3 linked regions of the Mus musculus genome follow. The protein of the gene in region 2 interacts with the protein of the main gene of each other region in a biochemical or structural test. Links are inferred from orthologs where the notes say so. Each region holds a gene or a part of one and is shown on either strand. Other genes may lie near its edges. The genes, in order: Slc22a12, Pdzk1 and Slc15a5.

The links.
Region 1: the proteins of Pdzk1 (region 2) and Slc22a12 form a complex in vitro, tested with the Homo sapiens proteins (2 studies listed by BioGRID and IntAct, with this or other methods). The link is inferred for Mus musculus from reciprocal best matches to the Homo sapiens genes PDZK1 and SLC22A12.
Region 3: the proteins of Pdzk1 (region 2) and Slc15a5 interact in a test that uses a peptide from one of them, tested with the Homo sapiens proteins (2 studies listed by IntAct, with this or other methods). The link is inferred for Mus musculus from reciprocal best matches to the Homo sapiens genes PDZK1 and SLC15A5.

Annotation. Positions count from the first base shown.
Region 1 is NC_000085.6:6,538,433-6,545,351, reverse strand, and holds the start of Slc22a12 (solute carrier family 22 member 12), read left to right. Parts: upstream 1-2,281; 5' UTR 2,282-2,599; coding exon 2,600-3,001; intron 3,002-4,188; coding exon 4,189-4,292; intron 4,293-4,622; coding exon 4,623-4,777; intron 4,778-4,854; coding exon 4,855-5,023; intron 5,024-6,552; coding exon 6,553-6,676; intron 6,677-6,819; coding exon 6,820-6,919. UniProt on the Homo sapiens protein: Electroneutral antiporter that translocates urate across the apical membrane of proximal tubular cells in exchange for monovalent organic or inorganic anions. Involved in renal reabsorption of urate and helps maintaining blood levels of uric acid.
Region 2 is NC_000069.6:96,866,727-96,873,407, forward strand, and holds the end of Pdzk1 (Na(+)/H(+) exchange regulatory cofactor NHE-RF3), read left to right. Parts: intron 1-1,571; exon of another isoform or gene 1,572-1,581; coding exon 1,582-1,806; exon of another isoform or gene 1,807-2,214; coding exon 2,215-2,505; exon of another isoform or gene 2,506-3,383; coding exon 3,384-3,437; 3' UTR 3,438-4,200; downstream 4,201-6,681. Other genes in the region: Gpr89 (Golgi pH regulator), read right to left, coding at 4,662-4,868, 5,751-5,816. UniProt on the Homo sapiens protein: A scaffold protein that connects plasma membrane proteins and regulatory components, regulating their surface expression in epithelial cells apical domains.
Region 3 is NC_000072.6:137,981,121-137,987,266, forward strand, and holds the end of Slc15a5 (solute carrier family 15 member 5), read right to left. Parts: intron 3,378-6,146; coding exon 3,230-3,377; 3' UTR 2,470-3,229; downstream 1-2,469. UniProt on the Homo sapiens protein: Proton oligopeptide cotransporter.

The sequences.
Region 1 (6,919 bases), on a different chromosome or scaffold from region 2:
GGTCCCAAGCTCTAACTGGGAACCCACATTTACACAGAAGTGAGCTATACTGTCTTCTCTAAAGCAAACACTAATGACCTATTAGCCCTAGAGTGATAACAGCTCACTGTCCACAGATCCTCTTTTTTGCTTCTCAGTGTAGAGCTGGAATCACGTCTCCACCCACCCACGACTGTCTAGAGGCGGCCTTAACTAGCTCCTACCACTAAACTGAGGACAGAATTACTGTGTGTCACCTTCAGCTCAGGGGCCACCACCCTCTCTTGCCCACCATTGAAATGGAAAGCTCTGGTTTCTTTGGGGACTCAGTTATGTCACGTGATGTTTCGCTGAAGCAGACATGTGAGGGAATGCGTGATGTTTAGAAAGAATATAACTATGACCCCACAGATAGTGTGGCAAAGCTCTTATATTGGTTCGCCTCGCACCACGTGGCTGATCTTCGCTTGCTGTGGCTTCATAGAGGGTAACTTGCCAAAGAACTTCTCATGACATTCCAGCGGCGTCTGTGGGCTCCTGCGGCTCAGCAGAGCCTCTCGGTTTCTTCTGGATTGAACTGCTGCTGCTACTGACTCGTGTTCGGTGCTTGTTGAGAGGACTGAACTCCCACTGCTGATTTGTGTCTGGTGTTTTGATAGTGGACTGAACCGCTGATATCCTGACAACAATGACTGCATTGTATCTCCCCCAAAGAACTACTTCTACAGAGATCCACAAGCCCATTTCCTATTAACCCTTCTCTTCCTCTACCTCTGGTAGGTGGGCTAGAAGGGAGGTTGGTGTGTTAAAGAACATTAATCAAATTAGGTTTTGAAAAATCTAAGCCTACACTCCAGCGGCTGACACATGAGGCCAGTGCCTTCCAGTGACAGCTGCAGGGGTACACACACAATGGGACTGCAATCCCAGACTCCCCTTGGAGGACAGCCACCCACCCATCAGTAGCAACCTGGGACTTTACACAATTAAGAAAAAAGGTTCTGGACTGGAGACATGGCTCAGAAGCTGATCATGTCCTGCAGCCCTTCCAGAGGACAAGTGTTCAGCTTCCAGCACCCACATCCTATAGCTCACAGCTGCCTGTAACGCCAGCTCCAGCTCCAGGGAGTCAGATGCCCCTCTTCTGGCCTCTGTGGGCACTTGTACTCAAATACACAAGCCACACACACACACACACACACACACACACCAAATACTTTTATTTTAAAAGAACGTCTGTGTCAGGAATCGTACGGACATCTCTATCCCATCATCTGCCACCTGATCACAGCGTTTCCTCTTCTACTCTCAAAACTACCTTGAACCCAAACCAGTCAGTACCTCTGGTGCCCACAGACTCCTCCCGCCTCTACACAGCCCTCATTATCGGTTCTGTCCAGTCACTCCCATGGCTTCCTGGGGACACTTTCCCCTTTGTCAGGCTTTCCCCCTCCCAGGAGCCAGGAATCTTACAAATGGAAGTCGAACTGCTGGAGAGACGCCTCCTGGTCAAGCATTTGCTCTTCTTCTAGAGGGCCAGGGCCCTGGCGTTGAAGGCAGGATTTAGTGTAAGGCTTTGCAGTGTGGCAGTAGGTGAAAGGGGCGGCAGAAGGAGACAGGTCAGGGAGGCGACAGAGCAGAGCAGAGGCAAAGGGGGAAGTCCTCAGAATTAGTCGGCTTAGAGACACTAGAGGCTGAGTTGCCAGCCTGTGAACTGTGACTCCGTTCCAGGCAGAGGGCCATGTAATTACAGGCTAAAGAAGTGGGTCCTAAGACAAGGAGACCTGGGAAAGAGACAGAGGTCTCAATACTTTAGGATATTTGTCTTGAAGAGTACAGGGGCATATGCTAATGTCAAAAGGGCTTAATGAGGCTCAGTACAGGGAATCAATAAGGGAGTGCAGGAACAGTGGCAGCTTCAAAAGGCTAATGAGGCCTAGAGACTGAGTGACACACCATCCTCAAGCAGAGGACGCCATCACTCAAGCTAGGATCAGGCCAGCTCTGAGGTTGGGAGGACCAGGGCTCACCCTCTCTCTCCTGGGTTAGCTCACAGTACAGTCATGATGTCTCCTGGAAGGCAGGCAGGAGCACCGAAGGATGGCGGCCCCAACACACTTAGTGGCAGAGCCCGTGTCCAGATCTTGCCGCATCCTAACAGAAACCAGGGCCATGAAGATGGGGGCGGGGTGGTGGGAGAAACTGCCGCTTTCATCTGCAGTGGTGTTGTCCTGGTTAAACTTTGAAGAAATGATTACTAAACCCTCTTCTATTAAATGGCTCCTAGTCACACTTTAATTCTACCCAGAGTGACTTCTCTCTCCACCCTCCTTGCTTCTCAAATTTGGTTTTTCCTGAGAGCCAGACTCTGCTGTGTCGCTGAGAGGTTCCCATGGCCTCCAGATTACCACAGAGGGTTCCAGGTCTCATGGTGACAGCCAGCAGGCAGATACACAAGAGCCTTGACTGGCTGTGACTCAGCAACATGGCTGTGTGACATGCATATGAAGAGACTGGTGTGGTCAGAGCCAAGGGGAAAGCAGGCTCATCACAAAGACCCCATGGTCCTGGGCCAGCCTCTGTGAAGTGGAAGCTGCGTGGTGGTACCCAGGAGAAACCCATGGCCTTTCCTGAACTCCTGGACCGAGTGGGGGGGCTGGGCAGGTTCCAGCTCTTCCAGACGGTGGCTCTGGTGACCCCCATTTTGTGGGTCACCACCCAGAACATGCTGGAGAACTTCTCAGCCGCAGTTCCCCACCACCGCTGTTGGGTGCCTCTCCTGGACAATAGCACCTCCCAGGCGAGTATCCCTGGGGACCTTGGACCCGATGTTCTTCTGGCCGTCTCCATCCCACCTGGTCCTGACCAGCAACCCCACCAGTGCCTCCGCTTCCGACAACCTCAATGGCAGCTTACAGAGTCCAACGCCACGGCCACCAACTGGAGTGACGCTGCCACTGAGCCATGCGAGGATGGCTGGGTTTACGACCACAGCACCTTCAGGTCCACAATCGTGACCACGGTAACAGCACCTGGGAGGTCAAAGTCACAGTCACAGAAAGGATGCACCTCCCCAAGCCTCCTCACTTGGGAGCAGCCATGTAGGCTTGCAGGGGACTGGGCAGCGGGAGTCATCTGCAAGGTCATAGTTAGTGGTTCATGCCTATGACCCCATCTCTAAAGAGACAGGAGGATTCCTGAGTCTGAGGCCAACCTGGGCCACACAGTGAGGTATGTCCACACAGCCTGGCCTGGGGTACCATTCCTGTTTCTACATCACCCGATGGCTTTACCCATAGTTGAACCTCTGCCATGACTCCAGGCCACCTAGACACAGGATCCTGTCGTCTGTCTCTGGGCTGAGCACAGAGGACCTGAACAAACATTGGCCTCTTATAAGAGATGTTGGCAGGCTGGGGAGATAAATCCGCAAACTGTCTGTTGTTGAAGCATGAAGACTTGAGTTCAGCTCTCCAGCATTTGGGGGGAAAAGCCAGGCTCAGTGGTGGTGGGACTGTAATGCCAGCTCTGGAGAGGCAGAAACAAGGGAGCCCCTGGGGCTCAGCTCTAGCTGGCTAGCCAGCCTAGCCAGTGAGCCCCAGGGTCACTGAAGGACCTCTTCACAAAAACAGTGTAGACAGCTCCAGAGATTGAACTCTGACCCTCACAAGCACTACACCATGGAAAGGCATGCACGCACACACACTCTCTCTCTCGCACACACACACACACGCACACTCACACGCACACGCACGTGCATGTGAAGACGAGGAGCCAGGTGGTGGTGGTGTATGTTTAATCCCAGCACTCAGAAGACAAAGACAGGAGGATCTGAGTTTGAGGCCAGCCTGGTCTACAGAGTGAGTTCTAAGACAGCCAGGCAGGGGAACTCTGTCTTGAGATGAAAAACCAAAAGAGAGGTGAGGGAGGGGAAGCCAGTGGAGAGGGCCAGCTGCCCCAGCAAGCAGGAAGGACCCTGCATGAGGAGCAAGAGGAAGTAAGCCTCCAGCGAAGGGAAGGCTCCTCAGCTACGGGCCAAGGCTCAAGAGGGAGCAGATGAAGCTGGAGGCTCTCCACCTTTGACGCAGTATAGGGCTGACAGGATACTCCTTAAGAAACCAAGCCACTAAGCCTGTGGGCGCCCTCGTGGCCCCACACAGCCCAGGCCATGCCCCTCCTGATCACAGCTCTGCCCCTCTTTCCCTCCAGTGGGACCTGGTATGTAACTCCCAGGCCCTGAGACCCATGGCCCAGTCCATCTTCCTGGCTGGAATCCTGGTAGGAGCCGCAGTGTGTGGCCATGCCTCAGATAGGTGAGTGTTCCCCGCTGGGCCAGGCGGTCTCTACTGAGTGAACCCCACATCCTTTCCAAATTAGAAGTTCCCCTACTTTCTCCGGGATTGTGGGGCCACTGCTTCGCTCTGAATATTCATTCCTAAAATTCTCTCTGCCACACACTTGAGCTGTTGCTTCCTGCCTCTGCTAAGGGGGAATTCACTTGCTAACGCTCCTCATGTCCATGGCCCTCACATGGGTCATGTGACTTTCTACCTTCCTCCTCACTGGGGGCAGGGACAGGAGGGCCCTTGGTGGCCCAGATCTGTGTTGCTGGCCAATGGCATGTCTTCCTATGTGTACCACAGGTTTGGGCGCAGAAGGGTGCTGACCTGGAGCTATCTTCTGGTGTCCGTGTCCGGCACAGCAGCTGCCTTCATGCCCACCTTCCCCCTCTACTGCCTGTTTCGTTTCCTGCTGGCCTCTGCAGTGGCAGGTGTCATGATGAACACAGCCAGTCTCTGTATGTCCCCTGATTGGTGCTGGGTCGGGAAGGCTGCATGCAGGACCCAGAATTGACCCCTTTCTTGCTCCTTGCAGTGATGGAGTGGACATCAGCCCAGGGTAGCCCTTTGGTGATGACCTTGAACGCCTTGGGCTTCAGCTTTGGGCAGGTCCTGACAGGTTCTGTGGCCTATGGTGTGCGCAGCTGGAGGATGCTACAGCTGGCTGTCTCTGCCCCCTTCTTCCTCTTCTTTGTTTATTCATGGTGGGTGCTGCAGCCCCCCTCCTTGAAAGAAGTTCTGCCCACTCTCGGGGATAACGATGGAAAACTCCTTTTCCTGCCGACAAAGGGTCTAGGAGTTCTGGGGACCAAGGCCCTCAAGATGGTCACCACTGCTGCCCAAAGTCCAGGAGCCCCTGTTCCAACTTACCTGAAACAAGCCAGATGCCATCTTTCTGTGGCCCAGCAGCAAACTGGGGCCACAGTCCATGTTCCCTCTCCCAGGAGGGGTCTAGCTTCAGCCCCTTTGGCATGCTGCAGACCCCAGATCTCTGCTTTACCCTGTCTCATCCCACCCTTGCCCAACCTTCTCCCCCTCCCCCCCTGACCCCCAGCTTGATTCCTATCTCCAGCCTCAGATCTCCAACTACCTGCCTGACTCCTACCCCTAACTCCTTCGCCTGCTTCCCAGGATGCCTTTCGCCCCTCCACTGTTTCCTTAGCCCAACAGGCCACTGAGAATCACCACTCTGTCTGCAATCTCATTCCCTTACCCTCCGCCGTCTTTCAAAATCAGAGGTGCTCAGAGTCCCAGGGGTATAAACAGATGGCTCCTCCCCATGGCTGCTCAAAGGGAACAGCATGTCCTTCTGCAGGGGAGGAACTTTTATAAACATAGACTTGGATATAGTGTGTGGTGGCCACTACCAAAGGCTCAGAGGACTGAGCAGTTTAGTGCAGCAAGTGAGTTTGTGTGTGTCTGTGTGTATGTGAAAGAGAGAGGGGAGAGAGACAGAGACAGAGAGAGACAGGGAGACAGAGAGAGACAGACAGACAGACACACAGAGAAAAACAAAGAGAGACACAGAGACAGAGAGAGGTTTGATTCTGAGACAGAGAAAAGCAAGTTGGTATGGAGCATCGATATCCTGAAACAGAACCAGCTGAGTTGGCTCCAGGGGAACAATCAGGTATCATGGGGCCAAAGGGTTCAAGGATCAGTGGTTGCCAGGGGTTCAGACAGAAGGAGCTTGGTGATGTTACAGACACCAGGCCTAGCCTGAGACCAGGCAGGGCTGGGGAAGCTGTCTGTAGCAGGAAGACAATACAACTGTGGGGCAGGGCAGGAGGAAATGTATATGGCATCGAAAGATGCCATGATGGCGAGACACCCCCCCGCAGCCATTGTGGTCCTTACTGTACACAGACCTGGCTCATGGGTAAGGCTAAGGAGAAGCCATAGGACAAGAAGTTGGAAAGGGACAACAGAGTTCCTCCGTATCCGGCAGCCTGCCCAGGGATAGAGAATATTGGACTCCCCTAAACTCAGAGAGGAAGGAGGCAGGAGGACCACCTGCTGGTACAGGTGGTAACCCAGGTGCCCTGGATACACATGCCACCATGGTCTCATTGTCCTTTATGGCCTCCACTGACTTTAGCAGCCTGAGACCAGAGCTTCCAATCCCCCCTGAAACCACCCCCTTAGGCAGAAGACACAGAAGTACAAGGAGGGTGACCCAGGCCAGGCAATGGAGGCTGCAATCAGCGACCCTTCCCACATCCCTTCCCTTCAGGTGGCTACCAGAATCGGCACGCTGGCTCATCACGGTAGGCAAGCTGGACCAGGGCCTGCAGGAACTACAGAGGGTAGCTGCTGTCAACAGGAGGAAGGCAGAGGGAGACACGTTGACCATGGAGGTAAGCCAGGGCTAGGCCTTCCCTCAACCCTGTCCCCTTAGATACTTTTTCTGGCTTTGTACAGGAGCTGCCTCGGAGGTCAAGTAAAAGCCCCTGGGGGTGGGTCTATGGGTACCTGGTGCTAACAGCCCCTATTCTTACAGGTGCTGCGGTCAGCTATGGAGGAGGAACCAAGCAGGGACAAAGCTGGTGCCAGTCTGGGCACTCTACTCCACACACCTGGGCTGCGCCACCGAACCATCA
Region 2 (6,681 bases):
CTGGAGGATATCATCCTTAGTGAGGTAACCCAATCACAAAAGAAGTCATTAGATATGTACTCACTGATAAGTGGATATTAGCCCAGAAACATAGAACACCCAAGATACAATTTGCAAAACACAAGAAAATCAAGAATAGGGAAGACCAATGGGTGGATACTTCGTTCCTCCTTAGAATAGGGAACAAAATACCCATGAAAGGTGTTACAGAGACAAAGTTTGGAGCTAAGAGGAAAGGATGGACTATCTAGAGAATACCCCACCCGGGGATACATCCCATAATCAGCCATTAAACCCAGACACTATTTGCATATGCCAGAAAGATTTTGCTGAAGGGACCTTGTTATAGCTGTTTCATATGAGGCTATGCCAGTGACTGGCAAATATAGAAGTGGATGCTCACAGTCATTTATAAGATGGAACACAGGAGGCTGTTGAGATGGCTCAGTGTGTAAGAGCAGTGACTGCTCTTCCAAAGGTCCTGAGTTCAAATTCCAGCAACCACATGGTGGCTCACAAACCCCGTAATAAGTTCTGATGCCCTCTTCTGGCGCGCCTGAAGACAGCTACAGTGTTCTTTATAATAATAAATAAATCTTATTAAAAAAAAAAAGATGGAACACAGGGCCCCCAATGGAGAAGCTAGAGAAAGTACCCAAGGAGCTGAAGAGGTCTGCAACCCTATAGGTGGAACAACAATATGAACTAACCAGTACCCCCAGAGCTCCTGTCTCTAGCTACATATGTAGCAGAAGATGGCCTAGTTGGCCATCACTGGGAAGAGAGGCCCCTTGGTATTGCAAATTTTATATGCCCCCGTACAGGGGAATGCCAGGGCCAAGAAGCGGGAGTGGGTGTAGGGGAGCAGGGCAGGTGGAGGGTATAGGGAACTTTTGGGATAGCATTTAAAATATATATAAAGAAAATATCTAATAAAAATACAAAATATATATATATAAAAAGAATAAAAAACAAACGAGTTAAGCTTGGCGTTCTGTCTCTGTCACGGCCGCCATTGCTTCCTACACGGCCTTGGCTGTGAAAATGAGAGGACCAAGCATACTTACAGACAGGGGGAAGCCCGCCACGAGAGGTGCCAAGATCATTAAACAGCAGCCCTGGGAGACGGAAGCTGGGGGATGGGATTCACTTGTGCCACCGTATGGGCACCTCTCTCATTATCAGTGTGTAGAGCTGGTTCTCACAAAACTCATCACAAAAATGTTTTGTCCTTTAGTACTGAAGGGCAGGGAGAACAGGGCCTTGGGGTAGTCCCTCAAAGGTGTCTCCCAAAGGGGAGTGTAGACAGTGCGCAGTGTCCTGCCTGCCTTTGTGGGGAAAAGCTTGTAACACCATGAGACAGCTCTGGGGTCTGGTGCAGAACTGTGCACTGTTTCTGTTATGCACATGTATGTGTCTGTGCACGTTTCTACCTTCTCTGGCAGTAGGAAAGAAACTTTAGACTCTCCCCTCCTCCTGTTGAGGAGGAGCATACATGTGAGACACCCTGTGTATTAAGCCATGACATTCAGTGACGTGTAATTGCTCAGATGTATATTTTTTCCCCTTTATTTTCCAAAGGCTCGGTTCTCTCCACTTCTTTACTGCCAAAGTCAAGAACTGCCTAATGGTTCTGTCAAGGAAGGCCCAGCTCCGATCCCTGCTCCTCTGGAGGCCACAGGCTCAGAGCCCACAGAGGACGCGGAGGGTCACAAGCCCAAGCTCTGCAGGCTGCTTAAAGAGGACGATAGCTACGGCTTTCACCTGAATGCCATTCGGGGTCAGCCTGGCTCCTTTGTCAAAGAGGTATGGTGACTAGTTCTGACAGCTCAGCAAACAGCCAATTAGGATGGGATTTTTTTTTCAGTGCAAGCCACAAGTCTCCGTGACACTAACAGTGGTCACACTTGGAAGTCCGCCTCTGAGAGTGCTCCTTGCCCACTGCTGTGGATGTGCACGGTGCCTGAACCCTGTAGGGGAGAGCAATGAGACCACCCTGTAGCTTCCAAGTTGGGATCCTAAGATGGGGGCGTGATGCCTTCAGCCCAGCACATGTTCAGTGCAGTGCTTTGCCAGTGTGGCTGAGCCCAGTGGAGTTCAGGGTGTATAGGCCATAAAGGAGCGCAGTTAACAAGTGTTGAGGCTGTTCAGGAGGGAAGCTGCCCGGCACGCCTTCTTCCATGCTTGGAACCGACTCAGAACCTCTGTTCACAGGTACAGCAGGGTGGCCCTGCTGACAAGGCTGGGCTGGAGAATGAGGACGTCATCATCGAAGTGAACGGGGAGAACGTGCAAGAGGAACCCTACGACAGAGTGGTGGAGAGAATCAAGAGCAGCGGGAAGCACGTCACTCTGTTGGTCTGTGGAAAGATGGCCTACAGCTACTTCCAAGCTAAGAAAATCCCCATCGTTTCCTCCATGGCCGAGCCCCTGGTGGCTGGCCCTGATGAAAAAGGAGAGACGTCTGCGGAGTCCGAGCATGACGCCCACCCAGCAAAAGACCGAGTGAGTGGTGGCCCTGCTTCCCTGGGGTAGTCCCCAGCCAGTGCCTCATGCCTATGCTTCCCAGTGACACAGGGTGGCCAACCTGCCAGGGTTTTGTGACAAAGGAGGCATTATGAGGACAAATTTATTGTCTTCTTAGAAATGTGGCCTCACTGTGGAGCCCAGGCTGGTGTAGAACTTGCAATCCTCTTGTCTTAGCCTCCTGAGTGCCAGGCTTGTGGTGTGTCATTATTTTTTTAGCATGCAGTTGGCAGTTAGTAAGTGAAATCAGTTTATCAAAATCATGGAGACCACCGAAGAACCTGACCTGATTACGCAGGACCAGTTCCTGGCTCTGTGCTCCAGATTTCCGACTTATAAAACATGGACAATGTGTACAGTTGTTTTCAGAAGTGTTTAAACTGTGCCTGGCTCACAGTAAGTAAAAACAGAGAGAGAGGCTTAGACTCCATGTTTAGTAAGTGTCAGGAATTACAATTATTTTTGTCAGAAGAATTTTTTTCTGGTCAATTTTCTCTTCATGGATAAATTTGAGTTTCAAAAGTAAACTGACATCCAAATTCATAGAAGGAGATTTATAGGAATCAGGCCTCCTATGAAAAGTCACTATAGTTTTCTACTGTATTTAATACTGCTGATAGGTCATGCCAATTATAGTACTAATCTGGCCTTATAGAAAACTGATGGTCTATGTGTATGTTGGTATATACACAGACAATGAGAAACTTGTTTGTGTTAAACAGTAATCTGGAAGCAAGTCAAGTGAAGATTCGGATTACATCTAGAGGTGCCTGGCTCTCTGACTTAAGGCATGCCAGCTCTAGATCAGCCTTGCTCTTTCCTGCTGCAGTAAACCCTTGTCTTTTTCCTTTGCACAGACTCTCAGCACAGCCTCGCACTCTTCGTCTAACTCTGAAGACACGGAGATGTGAAGAGAACAAATGATGCTTCCTCTTGAGGGCCCAGGAACTGCCTCTCCGAGGAATGAGCCCTGCCGACCCCGTCAGACCTCCTCTGGACCATCTGTCCCCCAGACTGTCTGTTGTTGTAAGGGCTGCTACTGCAGGTTGCTTATTTAAGCTCAACTTAGCCAGAGGAGGGACCAGGTTCAGGGTCTTTCTATGTGGTATCTTCCAAAGTGCAACTTTTCACTTCTGTTGATGAGACCTCTTCCTTCTGCAGGCTTGAGCACCTGGGATGATTCACTGTCCATGTGAGCGCTGCTAATTAAAGAATCAAGCAGATGCCTGTTATAGAAGTGTGCTTTTGTAGCAATGCTGTGGCTGAGCAGCATTGCTAAGTGCTTCTGAGTTGTTTGCAACTTCCCTGTTGGCTAATAGAATCCGAATAGTGTCTTTGTTCCATACAAACATTTCATGCTTTCTCATTTGCTTCCAGAAGCCCAAAACATGCAAAATACACACTGTGGTCTTAGTAATAAAGGGAGGCTTCCAGGAAATATACTTCAGCATTTTCTTATGTTACATTTGAGTATTAAAAAAAAACCTCAACACCTTCCTTTTACTGTCGGAGGGCTTATGTTTCAGAACAGGAAAGGGCTTGTTCCAGTTAACGTCTACCTCCAGCGCTGAGGCAGAGGGAAAGCCAACCCGAGCCAGCCACTGCTGGATTAGCACGGAACATTCACTCTTCTCTAATTTAAGAGGAAATAAAGATTGGTATACCTAAAATCTATTTGGTAAAATCTATCTGTTGCCTATCACCCCTTTCTCAGAAAAGAAGAAACAACCTTTTGGTTATTTTTACGGGGTAAAGTTGGGTGAGGGGAGAGATGCATTTCACGTCAGACCACAATAGCATAACACCAAGCTGTGCTGGACAAGTGACCCCAAGGCCAGAGTGTTACAAACTGACTTTACTAGCATTTTCGAGGGAAGCCGTGTAGTCAGGATTTCCGGGGTATCCTCATGCTCTGGCCCTCTCCTCCTCACTGCACAGCCTCAGATCCATGCGGCTCCCTGCTGAATGCTGCGGGTTTTCTTCTTGTGCCTCAGTCGAAGTGACTCCAGTATCTCAGGAGGAAGTAGGCGTGTGCCTGAGGCAGAACAGAACTCGCAGCTCTGCCTGTGTAAAGAGCTGTAGGCTCTGGTCTCCCCACTGTGTCTCCTTTCCTGAAGTTGGCAGGGAGTCTGAGTTCAGGGGGCCATATGCTTCTCTGGTGCCTGTTTGTGAGCCAGATAGAGGAACAATATGCTGGAGAGGGCACTGACCAGGAAGATGACATCAAACCAACGGTGATAGAAGTTGAACTGAAGCTCCCCGAGGACCTCTGTGATTATGGTGCGGTACTCCGGGGGCATGCTCATTCGGATCAGCAGTACAGAGGACACGAAGTACATACCCTGCAAAGTCGAGCCAAGTAATTCAGAAGTTACTCTGTTTTGAGGGGCAAGCCAGTGCAAACTTTAAGTTATTTATTGGGGCTGGAAAGAGAGCACAGTAGTTAAGGCTGACTACGTTTTCATCATGGGCTTGATTCCTAGCAGCCCATGGTGGCTCACACCACCTGTACCTCTAGTCCCAGGGGTCTAACACCCTCTTCCAGCCTCTATGGCATCAGGCACACACCTGGTTTATATACATACAAGTAAGCAAAACACCGATACACATAACATTTCTTAAATTATTTGTGCACATAGGTGTATTGGCGTGCATCTTCTTCAGTGTGTGTGTAGTCAGAGGTTAATTTGCCAGGGTTGGTTCACTCCTCTACCATGTGGGTCTGGGTACTGAACACAGGTCATCAGGCCTGGAGGCTACCACCTTTAGCAGCCACAGAGCAAGCCATTGTATGGGCCCAACTTAAACCATTTAATTTTTTTTCCTGGGCTGGAGAACTGGCTCAGTAGTTACATGTGCACGTACTGTTTTTGTAGATAACCCAACTTTGGTTCCCAGAACATTCATTGGGATCAGATACCCTCTTTGAGAGTCAATGGGCAACTGGATTCACATGTATACACATAAACACATAACCCCTCTCTTTCCCCAAAGAAAACAAAAACCAAACCCCAAGCATTTCTAAGCTGTATGTAGTGGTGCATGCATGCTTGAAGTCTCAGCACTTCAGAGACAGATCAGGAGTTCAAGGCCACCCTTCTTTACATAGATTATTTGAAGCCAATATGGACCACGTAGACTTTGTTTTAACAAAAACCCTCCCCAACAAAATCACATTTTGGGCACTCAACAACTGTAGACACAAAGGCAGTCAATAAACTTACCATTATCTGCGCTAACAGCAGGACGATGACGTTGGAGGACTTGCTGCTGGAGATGGCATAAAAGAACTGTGGAGGAAGGGAGAGAGATGAGCGCAGTGGTGCAGTAGGCTCTGCTCATGACAATGTGCTGCAGCCACCCTCTTTCGTGGCACAAAAAGTACAGCAGGCTCGGGAGGCAAGGCTACAGAGAGGGCCTTCAAATACAACACAAACCAGTTTCCCCAGATAGTTGGTGGTTTCATCTGACTCAACAAGGGAACCTTGGCTGTTGAGTTTCAGAAGCTGTAACGCCCCGCCCGGCATCACCACAACACTGACCAGCAATCTGGGAGCACTCCAGGCACCTGCAGCTGTCAAGGGGTCCGAGTTCTTCCCTCCCTATCTCTTTCCTTTCAGTGTCTGGATCACAAGGGAGGACCCACTTTTCATCACCACATGACCTGGTTTATGCTGCAAAGAAAGAGCTGCATGCTCTGTCCTCCACTTCCATTGTCTTCCTCTCTGTGGTTTACAATCACTGGAACCTTGAATGTCCATCTCAGTCATTTTTTTCTTTCTTTTTTTGTTTTTTGTTTTTTCAAGACAGGGTTTTTTCTGTGTAGCCCTGGCTGTCCTGGAACTCACGCTGTAGACCAGGCTGGCCTCGAACTCAGAAATCCGCCTGCCTCTGCCTCCCAAGTGCTGGGATTAAAGGTGTGTGCCACCACACCCGGCTTCATTTTTTTCCTATGTACCTGCTGAATCCCCTGTGACAAGCTTGGTTATAGATGATCCGACAGATCAATGAACAGAATGGACCCTTCATTACCTTTGGAATGGATCTGTGGCTGGTAGATATTGTCATACGTTACCCACGACTTACAGAAAGGTCTTTTTCTTTGGTGTGTGTGTGTGTCGCCTGAGTTGTTCAGACTGTTGCTGAGGATCTAAC
Region 3 (6,146 bases), on a different chromosome or scaffold from region 2:
CACGAGGGCAGTGTAAGGATCCATAGTACGTTCTGACAGAGGAAAATGTTTTGTCACAATCTCTGCCCCTGATGTGATTATTCTTCTCCTTCTTGTTCGAATTTGACAGTGGAGAGTGCTTCACCCACGTGGGCTGAGCTAATGTTGGTGATATCAAGTGTTGTTTGTGAAGGCAGCCCCTGCCACCCTTAAGAACAACAGTATAGTTGTCTGCGGAAATGACTGTTTCTGAAACTCTGCTCAAAATTTGTTTTTATTTATTCATTTATATGTATGTGTGTATGTATGTATGTATGCATATGTGATATTTGTTTGTGTGTGTGTGTCTGTGTGGTGTGCATGTACACTTGTGTACTCTGTTAAATAATAAAAATACTTTAAAAGTTAATGCGGGTGGTATACGCTTGTGTTTGTGTCTGCGCATGCCCATGCACACAGAGCAAGAGGAGGAGGATGCTGGAAGTCTTGTCTTATCATTCTCCCATGTATTCCCTTGAGACAGAGTCTCTCACTGAAGCTGAAGCTTACCTACCTAGTCAGCTATGCTGGCGGGACAAGCAGGGAACACCCTGATCTGCTTGTCTCCGCCCATCAACGCTGAGCATGTGTGGTCAGGCCAAACGTTTTTCTTTTGGGTTCTGGGAGTCATACTCATATTCTCACAGTATGTGCTCTTACCTATTGATCATTCTCCAGAGTTCCACAAAGTGCTGGGAATTCCAGGTTGGTAATGATGGGATGAATGCCAGAATTCAGAGTATCAAAGTGGGGATACTACAGACAAGGAAGTCAGCCAAGTAGAGAGATATAATAAGGGGAAATGGCCAAAGAGCCTGGGAGAAAAATCTACCCTCTTCCAGATCCTAGTTATTATTTTTTTTTCTTCAGACACTGTGGTTGTTGTTTTCCTGTTAAGAAACAAGGCAATATGTTGGGAAAACTTTATTGTTAAACTTGTATAATGAAAACACATGTAAAGATTGTTTGTGTATAGGCACAATGTCTGAATTAGGGCTTCACCGAATTCTTGTCAGGGAAAAAGAGAAAGATGTCTCTGTCATTAGCTGACAGAACCAGCTGGGGTCAGACCTGTGGGCTCATGGGTCACAGAAAACATTTTCCAAGCCCTCCATTCAAGTTTCAGTCTTGAACAGAAATCCAGCGTAAGGGGGCTTTTTAGGGAAGACTGGCTTCTGTCCGCCGCCTTTCAGCCGCTTTGTGAGCTGGAGAGAGTGAGCGGCTGGGAGAGGCCCTCGGAGGAAGCGGCTGGAACCTATGATATGCTGCAGGGACACAGGACTTCGCTGCCAGTGAGCACATTATGAGAGAAATACAGTACGGAACGCAGCGGGTTTCTGCAAACAAGGCATCCCTTTAAGTTAATTGGTGTTATATAGAAGCTGAAACGCTCCGCTTATTTACAAAGCTCCAGATTTATGTAAAGCAAAACCAATTACACTTAATGCCTAAACTACTCCAGGTGCTCAGAGATAATGTCGCCAGGCACTAGAGAAGAAACTGCCGTGTGAATGCACCCTGTTCCCAACCGAAGCGTCTGTAGTTACTGCAATTTAGCTAATCACAAGTGTCAACGCCAACCTGCGAGTTCTCAGCTCTTCTGCTGCTTGCTTTGGGTCAATTTTATAATTTCTGATGTTCTTTCATCGCAAAGGAAGAGCGAGAGTGTAATGAACACCTTTTTTTTCCCTCCCCATTACAATGTAGAAATTAAGGAGATGAAGGGACATTTGGGGAAGGGCCAAAGTCGTCCCGGTCCTTTTCTAACAGCCAGAGCACGCTGTGGCTTTTCATTTACACCAAGATGAGGCGTTTGGAACTTTCTTGATCTTCGGGATGTTCATTATGAGACCAATGCGCTAGATACTGCATTAATGAGGCTCCTTTGGGGTGTTCATTAAGCCCAAAACTGCAAGCTTGGCATTTAACCTTTCACAGCGAGGAAAGTTGTAAGAGCAGCAGGCTCAGCCCCACTGTTTTGCCAGGGAATTGTGCAAAACAACGAATAAGTTGTGGGGAAGAATTTCTGCCTATAGAGCTGACTTTATAAACTTGTCCTCCAAACAAAGGAACACATAGCAAGTAGCTGGAATAAGAAAAACGCCTGGGGTTTGACTGCGCTTAGAGCATTTAAAAATGCACATTGTAACCTAATCAAGTTACAATTGGCTACATTTCTTACTCCATGGCTCTAAACATTGGACAGATCAGCAAGAGAGGCATTCAATCACAGTCTCTTGGAATGAACAGTTAAAAAAAATGCTCTTGCCCAATCTAGCCTGGTTCTGGAGAGGAAGTCAAGGAAGGGTGCTGGGAGAACCTTTAAAGTCTGGGCGGCAGTATGGAAGAACTTAGGGTAGCGTCAACAAGACATGCAGTTTGGGGAGAAGACAGAGTCGCCTAAAATAGGAGGCTGAAAACCAAACTTTGTCACATACTGAGGCAAATTGTGATAAAGAGATGACAGGACATTAACTTTATTCAATAATAATAATAATAATAACAACAACAACAATAATAATAATAATAATAATTGTATGGCCTAGAGAGGCATCTGTCTGTATTTCCACTTCTTTGATCATCCTCTGCTACATAGTTAAGTTTGAGGGCAGCCTGGGCTCTATGAGATCTTGTCCCAAACCTGATAAGACCAAATAAAACCAAACCAAACGACCTCTATTTTAGTAACATTGCTTTTAAATTCTGAAGAAAGTTTCTTAATCAAGATATATTTTAGTAGAATGCCAAGGTCAAATATAGCAGAATTCTATACACATTTATTATCTAAACATCATATTACTTATGGTTTATAATACCTAGAATGCAATAAAGCCTTAGTGAATATACAGAAAGAAGAAGTAGAAGCATATTGTTTCTTAGCTTCTAATGACATTAAAATTATAAATAAATCTTTCATATCACCTTCAACTGCTGAACCACTGTAATGATTATACAATATGATTGACACGCTAACATGGAAAATGATTGTTTCCGGTCACAGAGTAATCACCAAGACTTTAAAATCGCTTTATTAGTTCAAGAGCATAATATATCATTAAAAGTCATCATAGTTTATTGGAAGGATCATAATTATTCATTGTAAATAAAGTACACTCTTCTTTATGTTGACTTTCCCAGTGAAACGTATGAAGTATTCGATTGAAGAAGAAAATAGTGGATAACGGGTCTCACAAGAGAATCAAATCCAGTTTCAGAGGGCTGTCTCCCAAAGATCAATACTTGAAGATGCTCCCTGTGTACTGCCATAAAACTTCAGAGACTTCTCAGTGAGGAGAAGAGTTTCTTCACAACGATTTCCACGGATGCGCTGGGCATTAAAATGATTTAGATTACAATATCTGAGAGAGAGAGAGAGAGAGAGAGAGAGAGAGAGAGAGAGAGAGAGAGAGAAAGAAAGCTTTCCTTAGGAGCAGATGTAGATGACTTGATAAATCACGGGCTTCCCTCCCTTGCTTGCCTACCTTTTATGATGGGATCGTAGATACTGGCACCGGAGAGATGATTATTTAAGAGGCTCACCCGGGCAGTCTTTGTACAAGGACAGGAGAGTGCTACCTAGGGCAGAGTAAGGCTCCCCTAAGGCCCTTTAGATGGTGCTCTCTTATTAAGACGAGGTCGTGCCGTGTGGCCCAAGCTCTCTCAGGACTCGATATGTAGTCTAGGCTTGTTTGAACTGGGGGGGATTCTCTGGTTCTAGCCTCTTAATTGATGGGCTTGTAGGATAAGTACACACCATCACGGCCAGCAGGATGGTGCTCTCCTATGAACACCGGTGAGTCTGTTCTGTACTGTCAGCGAAAGAAACCCGGAAATTGTATTGGCTGTGGATCCCATGGCTGCTTGGACCGTGATTTATCTGATAAAAGCTTATCAGATGTGTTATCAATAGTACTGTACTATACTGTATCAGACATCCCATGATGTTGGTGCTAAGATCATTGTTAAAGAGAGAATACTTGGCCACATTTTAAAAATGTTTACCCATTAAAAAATGTCTACTCCAATGTCTTCTCAGACCATGCTACCCTGAGAGGGAGGGATTGTTCCCGTTTTACAGACTAGAAAACTAAAGTTCGAATGTAAATCAATGTCCTTATGGCATACAAAGGACTCAGACAGTACTAGACCTTCTTCCAAACCAAACCTGCTCTGGTGCTTAGTCCCTTGACTTTGCTTGCTCTCACCCCTGTTGTGGTCATTTTTATTCTTGACCACTTCCTTTCCACCCACCCTAAGCTCTTGCTCAATAACCGCAGATCTTCGACTATTTTAGATTGGACACTGATCTTGAATCCCTTTGTACTAATGAAGTTCCTTGGTTCAGTTCGTCTCTTTGGTGCCTGGAACGGTGCTTAACAGGTTGGCTGACTGCATGCATGCATAAGGAGCTGATGAATTTGGATTCCAAGTAAGACTTACTTGAACTCAATCATACTTATAGTCCACTAGACCTAGTCTTGACATAAGTATAAGAGAAGAATAAAGCAGAAGAGAGTGGGTGTGTAAGGCCAAATTGGTAGGCACATTTAGTATTGCTAGTATTCTTGTGTATTTACTCAACTTCAAGCAACCTTGGGATACAGTAAGAGATGAAGACACCAACGCCTAGCTAGGTTAAGGGGTGTGCTTGTGCTTATACTGTCTACTTATACATGATGGAACAGAGCTCGCCAGCTTGGACTCTGAAGATAGCCTTTGTGAAGGACATAGGCTAATTCTTACAGAAAGATCATAACGTAATAACTGGAGAGCTTATAGCAAGGCGGTGGTGCCGCACACATTTAATTCCAGCACTTGGGAAGCAGAGGCAGGCAGATCTCTGTGAGTTCGAGGCCAGCCTGATCAGAGTGAGTTCCAGGACAGCCACAGCCACAGCCACAGAGAAAAAACAAAATGAAACAAAACATTTTCTTTACCAAAAAAAGAGAGACAGACTGTACAGGGGCTTTGGGGAAAAGAGTCAGGGGCTGGAAGGAAAAGAGCACACGTCTTCAACTTCTGTTTTCATGGCTGAATCTGTTTGCTACAAAGCTGAGGAAATCCCCGTTGGACATCCTGAAAGACTCTCTGATTTTCTAGTTTCATTCACAATCTAAGGGCCTGGCATTTAGAGAGATTACAGATTGTTGGAGAGACGCAGGATTTGTATGCTGCTAAGGGTAAGAGAGACTCATATTGAAGGGACTACTTGAGTTTTAGGTCTGGTACTTATCCATTCCTACTTTCTGAGATTCAGTATTTCCCATAATGGTGCAGCAGCTCATAGATATCAGGGCCATAGGATAACACTGAGCACAAGTTAAGTTCTGACTCAACAAGCTTTGGGTTTGCCACACCCATCTGTCACCTGGATGCTGACCCAAAAGACAGAAGCATACAAGACTGGTTTGGGCAAGGGAGAGGTGGCAGTGAGTGGGTCGATCTGTGGGTAAACGCATTGGGTAAATGGAGCCAGGTGAGGGCAATAAAACTAATTCCTGTGATGTAGCTCACATGGAGAGTCGATCTTTCAGAGTTCCATCCCTTAAAACCAGCTGTTGATACACTGTTGTGATTGACATGCACAAAGACTGTGACAGTTAGACAGTTTGCTCTCCGCATATAGCTAGTGTAGGTCAGAAAGAGAGAAGAGAAAGGCAAGGCGATGGTACACAAGCACCCGACTCATGGAGCTTCTCTGGCAAACAGGCATTGAGTGAATGAAAACCGTTTCCATGATCAGAGTCTTTTGCACTGGCAAATTGTAAGACACGTGAGGTTGTGCACAAGGAAGATGACATTACATTATTTTGACAACTTAGGTCAGTGTCCAAGGGATTGTCATCTATTGACCTTGAAATGGCCACTGCTGATGTAAAGGATTGAATGGGACCCAAATCTCTTTGGGTCATTAAAGTCTCAGCCGTTTGTTTAATGATACCTGTTGTTAATGGTACTGACTTATCCTGTAACTCTAAGGTAGTATTATAATAGACAAAGAATACCACTTTGGCATCATAGCATGCTTTAGAATGGAATAAAGCACTCATTTGGTGTGAGAATAGGTGGAAAAGGGCAGTCTAAGGTGAAGTTTTTGTTCAGAATAATCCATTACATTTCTGCAGGAT